Linked DNA regions of Caenorhabditis elegans. The protein of the gene in region 1 interacts with the protein of each later gene in a biochemical or structural test. Each region holds a gene or a part of one and is shown in the gene's direction. Other genes may lie near its edges. The genes, in order: sax-7 and sax-3.

The links.
Region 2: the proteins of sax-7 (region 1) and sax-3 form a complex in vitro, tested with the Caenorhabditis elegans proteins (one study listed by BioGRID).

Annotation. Positions count from the first base shown.
Region 1 is NC_003282.8:8,060,822-8,064,745, forward strand, and holds the start of sax-7 (Neuroglian), read left to right. Parts: upstream 1-1,837; 5' UTR 1,838-1,910; coding exon 1,911-1,959; intron 1,960-2,279; coding exon 2,280-2,457; intron 2,458-2,793; coding exon 2,794-2,870; intron 2,871-3,208; coding exon 3,209-3,501; intron 3,502-3,924.
Region 2 is NC_003284.9:3,463,650-3,467,573, reverse strand, and holds the start of sax-3 (Protein sax-3), read left to right. Parts: upstream 1-1,646; 5' UTR 1,647-1,688; coding exon of another isoform or gene 1,689-1,718; 5' UTR 1,719-1,731; coding exon 1,732-1,804; intron 1,805-3,708; coding exon 3,709-3,924. UniProt on the Caenorhabditis elegans protein: Required to confine migrating sex myoblasts to the ventral muscle quadrants during their migration through the body and for multiple aspects of sensory, motor, and interneuron axon guidance.

The DNA of each region.
Region 1 (3,924 bases):
TCCTTTTTGTTTTATTACCGTCCCGACCGACCGCTGTAGAAAACGGAAGATACCCTCTTTTTCCCCTACCCATCCTTATATTGATACATCTAAAGCGTGCCTTCTCATTTCTCTATAGCAACTTTATTTAATAATTCATTCTTTTTGATGTTCACTGCTGTTGAAGCTACTCTCTATGTTCTGCTTGATCTGCTCATCGTGGCGGTGTTCATGAAAGCAAGATTGATGTGTTATGAATAATGAGGAAAAGAGAGTGAACTGCCAAATCCAAATTTTATGAATTTGGAGAAATAACCAGACCTCTTTTGGCTCAGAGACACACTCATTTTACGACCTTCTTCCGTGACATATAGAGAGTAATGCGGACGAAAGGATTTCGAGAAATCTGTCCGATCGACTTAGCACAATGCTCCGGAAGTATATAGTCTGTGGTGTCACAGGTTTTTTTTTCGCATCAAAAATTTCATGTCTCCAAGTCGATGAAACTGAATTGTATTTTTTTATTTTAGAAATAATTTTTTTAAAAAAAATTTTTAAATCGCGTTATCCAAAGAAAAAACGAATAATTCAATAGAGAAACTAGGCTTGATCGAAAGGTAGACCAGAAATTTTGCAATCGTTTCGAGACCCGAGCATGTGCGCTCTGTTGCGCGCCTTTGCTACAGTACTTGCATTTGTTTTGTTTCGCCGCCAAAACGATTTTTAACGAAAACTCTGAATTTTCTCTGTTTTTCTAGTGTTTTTACTTGTAAAACTACAAAATTTATTAGTCTAAAAGTAAATTAAAACATCTGAAAGTCGTTTTCGATTCGAAATAACGTTTAAATCACATTTTCCGTTAAAAACCTGATCATGTTCCCGTTTTGAATGTTTCAGACGCGCTGTGTTGAAAATTTAGCTTTTTTCGGATAAAAATCACCTATTTTCTGTCGTAAATGATTTGTGGCCCAGAATCTTTGAAGTCTTGTTATTCTTTTACCCACGCATCCATACGTCTCATAGGTGACATCTCGTGCGTAGAACATTTTGAGCAACAAAAATCGAGTAGCGTGACGCGAACGCATTTTTCTTTTTTCCTTTTCTTTCCTGAAAACGTCCTTGAAGAACGGCCGCTTCTGAAGAATGGAGCAGCTCTCGTTCTGATTGCAAAAAAAAACGAGACAACCGGTAAAGTACAATGCCATCGGCTACCGCCATGCGCAGATTGCGTCGGTTCTGTGTGTGTGTGTGTGTGTGTGTGTGTGGACTGTCAACGAATACATCTATCACCCCCGTTGACTTCTCCTCATGCCCTTCTTTTCTCATCTTGCATTCCATTTTTTCCACCTTATGTTTTTGTCTGTACTTTTTTAAAAATAACTTTTTTTGTTGATAATTTTCGAAACTTTTTTCTCTTAATTTTATTTTCGTAATGAATCAAACAACAGATTTAATTTCTTATTCTCATCGTTAATCCAACGTGCTTCCTCATGGTCACTTTTCGGTCAGCGGGGTAGATTCCCATGAATTCTCGCTTTTTTTCATTTGCATAATCGGGAAAAGGAGAAACCTAGACAAAATAAGAAGTTCTTTATTTCATTCTTCTGATTTTAAAGTCTTTCGTTTATTTTCCGGTTTTAATGTAATCCCAATTTTCGAAATTTTAAAGATGAATCAGATTTTGTACGAGAATAGTTTCATTTGCACAAGTAGTAGTACAATTATTTTCTTGAAAATTGAGGGAAGATTCTATTTTTTCAAACTAATTCATGTTTGTTTAATTCTTAACGTTTCCTTTTTTTTCATTTCTCGTTGTTTTTTCTCCGAACTTCTCTCAAAATTCTTCGCAAGCTTTATTCCAATTTCAGGATAGAAAAAGAGTATCGAACGAAGTTCGACGCGATTCTAGATCACGTCGAAAGACCACCATCATGAGGAGCTTCATATTCCTCTTGTTACTCACTGGCCACATATCATCAGGTGAGAATTCTTTTGACGTCGAGGACATCATATCGCTTCGAAAATTGTTTGATTGGCGATTCATGTTGACATATTTGATTGCAACATCATTTTACGCCCTTTTTTGTTGTTTTTTAATGGCAAAAATGAAAATAAATATGGAATCAAGATATTCAAAGCCTTTTTATAGAAAAAAATTGTAAATAAATAATATTGAGAAAAACGCTGAAAAGCATTTGATGTGCTCAAATTTATGAACAAAAAACAAATATTTCTATAACAGAAACAATTGTCAAATATCCATATATATGTAGCAACATTTCTAATAAAAACTGTTTCAGGCAGCATAGATTGGTCAGCGATCGAAACTCCTCCACAATTTGTTCACGATAAGAATGCAGATACCGTTTACTTTAAAGTCGAAAAAAGTGGAATGAGTGATGAATCGGCGAAAAATACGCCCGGTAATCTGCTCGAACAAACGATTCATTGCTATGCAAATGGAAATCCAAGGCCTTCGTAAGTTTTTTGTAATGTTTCTGAAAAAGTAAAATTTAGAAAAAAAAATGAATCTTCAAATATCTTAAAATAATTTTTATTGAAAATTAGACTTGCATGCAATACTAATTGGGAAAGATACGGTAGTTTCTATCTAAATTTGAAAAAAAATTCGAAGTCTTTTTACTGCTTCTAAAATTGCTTTAAAATCCTTTTGGCAGTTTTGGTGGAGCATTAAAAAATTTGAAAATTCAACATTATGCTCTACGAACAGTTTCCATTTGCATTTTTATTTTTCAACTTCCAGAATTAAAAAGTGTTCAAAATATGTTTTTTATACTATTTTCTTTATTACAGATATCGTTGGAAAAAGGATGGTAAGACGTTCCTGCCGTCCATGTTTCCGGAGAAAGTTGTTCAGAAACCAGGAGAAGGTGAATATTTTTTGTTGTTGTAAAAATCTAAAATTGAGAGAATATGGAACATTTTTGAAATTAAAAAGATGGAGTAACTGAATAGTTAAATGTTTGTTTCAAATTATTATTCTGATTTGAAAAAAGTTCACTTCATTTAAATATAAACAAATTTGTTTTATTTTTGTGCAATTATAAAACTCCCACATGCAGGAAAAACAGGAAAACAGTTTTTCCTCAAATCCAAAAAAAATCGAAATTTTCGGTTAGGCCTAAAAACCGAGAAATATTGATTTCTCATTAAAAAAAAGTTCGGTTTTTCAGAAAACCTGTTCTGAAATAAATATGACATTTTCCAGGAAGCCTTGTGTTCTCCCGTCTTGATGAATCTGATGCCGGATTATATCAATGTGAAGCTGAAAATTCGAATGGAACAGCTGTTGATCGTCCTGTCCGTGTACAAGAAACATGGATTCGTCATTTCAAAACTGCGGAACCAGAAGTTGTAGTTGTCGAAGTTGGAGATCCGTACCAAAGAAATTGTTCTCCACCTGCTAGTAATCCATACGCAAGAGTTTATTGGATTCTTATGGGAAAAGAACCGGGACATTTCGAAACTATCAGTAGTAGTCATATTTCTAGCAATGAACAAGTGAGTGATAACAGTTTTTTTTTTCATTCTTTTTACAGATCGTTTCTCGTAACCTCATTGTGCCAAGAAAACTTTTCTCATTCACTCCCTGTTCTTTGTAAACCAAAATCAAACAATTTTCATAGAATTGAACGATTTTTGGAGAAAGATTGAAGAAAAAACTATTCAGTGCTTCTGGCTGTATCGTATTCAATTTTTCGAAAAAAAAATAACTAGACGAATAATCTCTGCGATTAAGTTTCAAATTTGCTGCTCGTTCCAATCTTCAAATACTAAAGAAAACTTCAATTTCCATGTATTTTTTTTCAATTAAAATCAAATCAAACAGAAGTTTTTAAAGTGTTTCGATTCTATATTTTGAAATTGTAACTCGTGGATGATTTCGACGATTCTCGTTTTTAAAGCCAATTCGAAAACTACTTT
Region 2 (3,924 bases), on another chromosome or scaffold:
AGGTTCGGTCTACAATGGACCTAATGAACGGGTAGTCGAATGTGAGAGGAGGGCGGCCACGAATTGGAATAATTACTTAACCAGGGAAGGGGGCGACGTATAGCCCCGGCTATCCCCTCATATTCCATGCGGTTTCGTTCCGTATCGAGCCGCTTGCATGACATGGACATCCGTCATCGCCGTGCTCTTGACGCGCATTATTTAGGTTATTTATCTGACAATTATGAGCTTTCTGACGACCTTATTGAGTTGAGAGCTTTGATATGTTCTCGAGTACTTTCTTGTCTAGAATAAAGCGTATTGATTTTTCTTATTCGCCCGCCTGTTGCCAGATAGTTTATCTAATCAGTATTATTCAATCGCTGGCACAACATAAATCGATACTTGTCTCACTCCTCTTTGCGCGTTTATCTCCCCGCGCATTGCACACACACCTTGAAGAGGAAATCTGATGTCTAACATTCTGCGTCTACGCCTTCTAGCAATTCGTCTCAACGGTCCTCATTTTAAATGTTCTGCAAATGCATTTGTACTAAATTGTGATTTGTTTCTTTTTGGTTGTTAGAGAAACAATGAAAGCTTTTTGTATGTATAAAAATTTTGAACCATTTGGTGATGTTGAAAATCCGTTTTTCTTTTAATTTCAAGGTATTTTCCTAATTTTGGCCATTTTGCTGTGTTTGAAGTTTTTAATTTCCATGTTCAAATTGTAGCTATAGTTATTTTATTGATACTCTGGCAAAAATCAAATTTCCCAAGTAAAGTAAAACGCCTATATAGACTTGATGAAGTTCTACTTAGATTGAAACTTCAACGGATTCTTACTACAATCTTGCACAACTCCTGCGTAAAATAAAATTTTGCATAGCTTTTCGGGAGTCTTGTGCAGTTTGAAACAACTCCTGCACACTTCCCAATCTGCCACGAACTTAGTACTAAAGATTTTTTATATTTTTTGTCAGAGTAGGTTTCCTTTTTCAAGTTGCCTTTTCACTACACCAAATTTTGATTACGCCTCGCCGCATTTAAGAAAATCCTTTCAAAATCGACTTGTTCATTTTCTTTCATCTTCTATATCCATCCTTCATCCGTCCTTCTGCGCGTCATCTTTAACCAGTCTCACTACGTTTGCCTCCTAACTTTGCGTCCTCATTTTTTTTGTTGCTTGTCTTCCTGCTGGCTACTTTTGCCTCCCGTGCATTTTTTCTTTATTTTTTTTTGTCCAACATCTTCCGTCGCGTAGAAGACTAAATTTGTTCTTCATTCTAGAATGTGGCTCTCTAGTCCAATTTAGGGTCGGCTTCCGTCCGAATCGCTCCACCACCACCACCACCGAAAATGCGCAAAAACGGACGCACAAATCGTCTTCGCGTCTTGAAAACGACGACGACGACGCTCGTCAACTTTTCAATTACTTTGTTGTGTCTTTTCCTTTTTTCCTTCTAAATCTATTCTCCCGAGTGTCACCCTAGCAAAGATGAATGATTACACCCAGGGCCACGCTTTTTTCGCCCTTTTCCATCTTTTTCCCATCACCTATTTTGTCTTGTTTCTCCTTTTATATTCCCTCATTCTCTTTCCGTCATTTTGTCGCCCACTCTTAAAACAACCGCCAATAACTTTGATTACTTTTGTGTTTTTCTTGCAGGTGTCTCCCAACTGGAAATTCAGAACACCGCCACAATTAGATGCAGCCTTTGAAATTGGACACAGATTGAATAAAACAAGATCATGTTCAATCGAAAAACGCTGTTATGCACTATCCTCCTGGTATTGCAAGCAGTAATCCGAAGCTTCTGCGAAGGTTGGTTTTTTTTTTCTAGAAAAAAAATGTTAAGTTAAGAATGTACCAAAAGTGTCAAGTTACATGGTGAAAAAAACGCGTCGCCAACAAGACACGCTATTCGATCCACTCGTGGGTTTTCTTTGAATTCACTTGGAAACTTGGAAAATCCATTAGGTTGGGTTGTATTTCCCATGTCGAAGAAAGCGATTAAAACGAAGATTGACTGAATGCGCGGAAACGAATGCCCTCCATCTTGGAAAAATGCTCTTTACTCGCTGCTTTTTCTACTCTTGCGCTATTAGACATGACTCTTCATTTTGTCAAACACCAAAAGCGGGTTCGCTGCTTGGATTGTGAGCTCGTTTGCCGACTATAGTGTAAAAAGATTCGATTATCGTTTTGGACTGCCATCTGCCCTCTTGGCCGAGCCAAGCCCCGCTTTTGGATGGTAATGTTGAGAAAACAATAGTGAATAGGACGGGGGGAGAATAAATGGTATAGAAAATGAATGAGAGGAGTTAGTCTCATTGAGGCGCGTGTTCTCAAGTATTCACCATTCAAATGCTAATCTCTTAAAACAATAAGTCTTTTTGTACAGCGACCAGAGCCAGTGTAATTTGCAACGAAAATATAAGAAACAGTTGGGAGCGACCACCCGCAGACTCTCGATATTTGTCTTGTTCCACATTTCCACATTTCCACAATGTAATTTGTGCAATGTGCAAGTCATTATTCAATGTGATAAATTGCCCCAACCTGGGTCATTTAAACATTTTAGCACAGTTTTAAGATGCATGCGAATATCCGTAAAATTGAGAATCATTAGCATGCGGTTGATAGAAGATGAGAAGCTATTTGAAATCCCTCCCCAGAGACTAGTAGGTTATTAATGAGCTGTTGGCGCTGTCCAAAATATTCAGTTGCATCTCATGTTTTAGAAAGACAGCCTGCTTTTTAGCAGAAGCTTTCAACACCAATGTGTTGCGAAAGAATGACGGGCGAATTGTGAAATTGGGTGTTGACAGGATGAGATATGTGTACATCTTCACAGCTCTTTGGTTTTGTCTTGCCTATGGATGAAAAGGCGGGCAGGCAGCGTAGTATAATATTTTGAAGGTTAACACGGCCATTAAATTGTAGCCAGAGTACAATACATTGGTTCATGGATAGTTTACTCGCGTGCGCACATTTTGACACTGGCACGCTAGATTGTTGAAAGGTTAAAGAGGTGACAGAAGAGACAGAAGGACAGCCAGGCTAATTAAATTGTTGAATCCGGCAGCTTGTTAGCCACACTTTGGTCTGGTAATTTACTAGTGGAAAACAACAGTGGTCCGTATTTTGAAGTGGAGGAAAACAAGTCGGCCTGCTGAAATTTTTATTAAGTGTGTGCGCAGCAGTGTCAGGGTGAATGCCATAAACAAGTGATTCAAAATGGCTTTTTGATATTTTTTGAAGCAGATGGGAGAAGATGGGTAATCCGTCGGAGGTCAATGGCAATCTTATGTAATAGACCACCGACACCCAATAAACCAGCCGTTAATGTACTATCTAGGTTTTTACCACACTCACACACACACACACACATACATAAATTTTGATAAAATTCCTAGTGAATCATTTTATTACCTACCGTCCGTCAAGGACAATAGTGTCGCACATCTCTACTGAAAAATCGGTGAGGGAAGGTGTTCGTTTCGACACCATAATACAGATGTGACAGTATTGCGCGTGCCGGATCGGTCAGATTGATTTAATGCACTTGGACAAGTTTCCTTTCTTATTCACATTGTCAAGATGGATAAAATCAAAGTGTTGATGTATGTGGAAATAAGATGAATGGGAGATGAGGAAAGTAAAAAAAATTCTAACAGGGGAATGATGTTGTTTTGAACCTTTTCAAATCTTGAATATAATTTCAGATGCCTCAAATCTCGCTCCCGTGATAATCGAACATCCCATCGATGTGGTGGTATCTAGGGGATCGCCAGCAACCCTCAACTGTGGTGCAAAGCCATCTACCGCCAAAATCACATGGTACAAGGATGGACAGCCCGTAATCACGAATAAGGAGCAAGTGAACAGCCACCGGATTGTTCTCGACACGGGATCCCTGTTTCTTCTGAAAGTGAATAGTG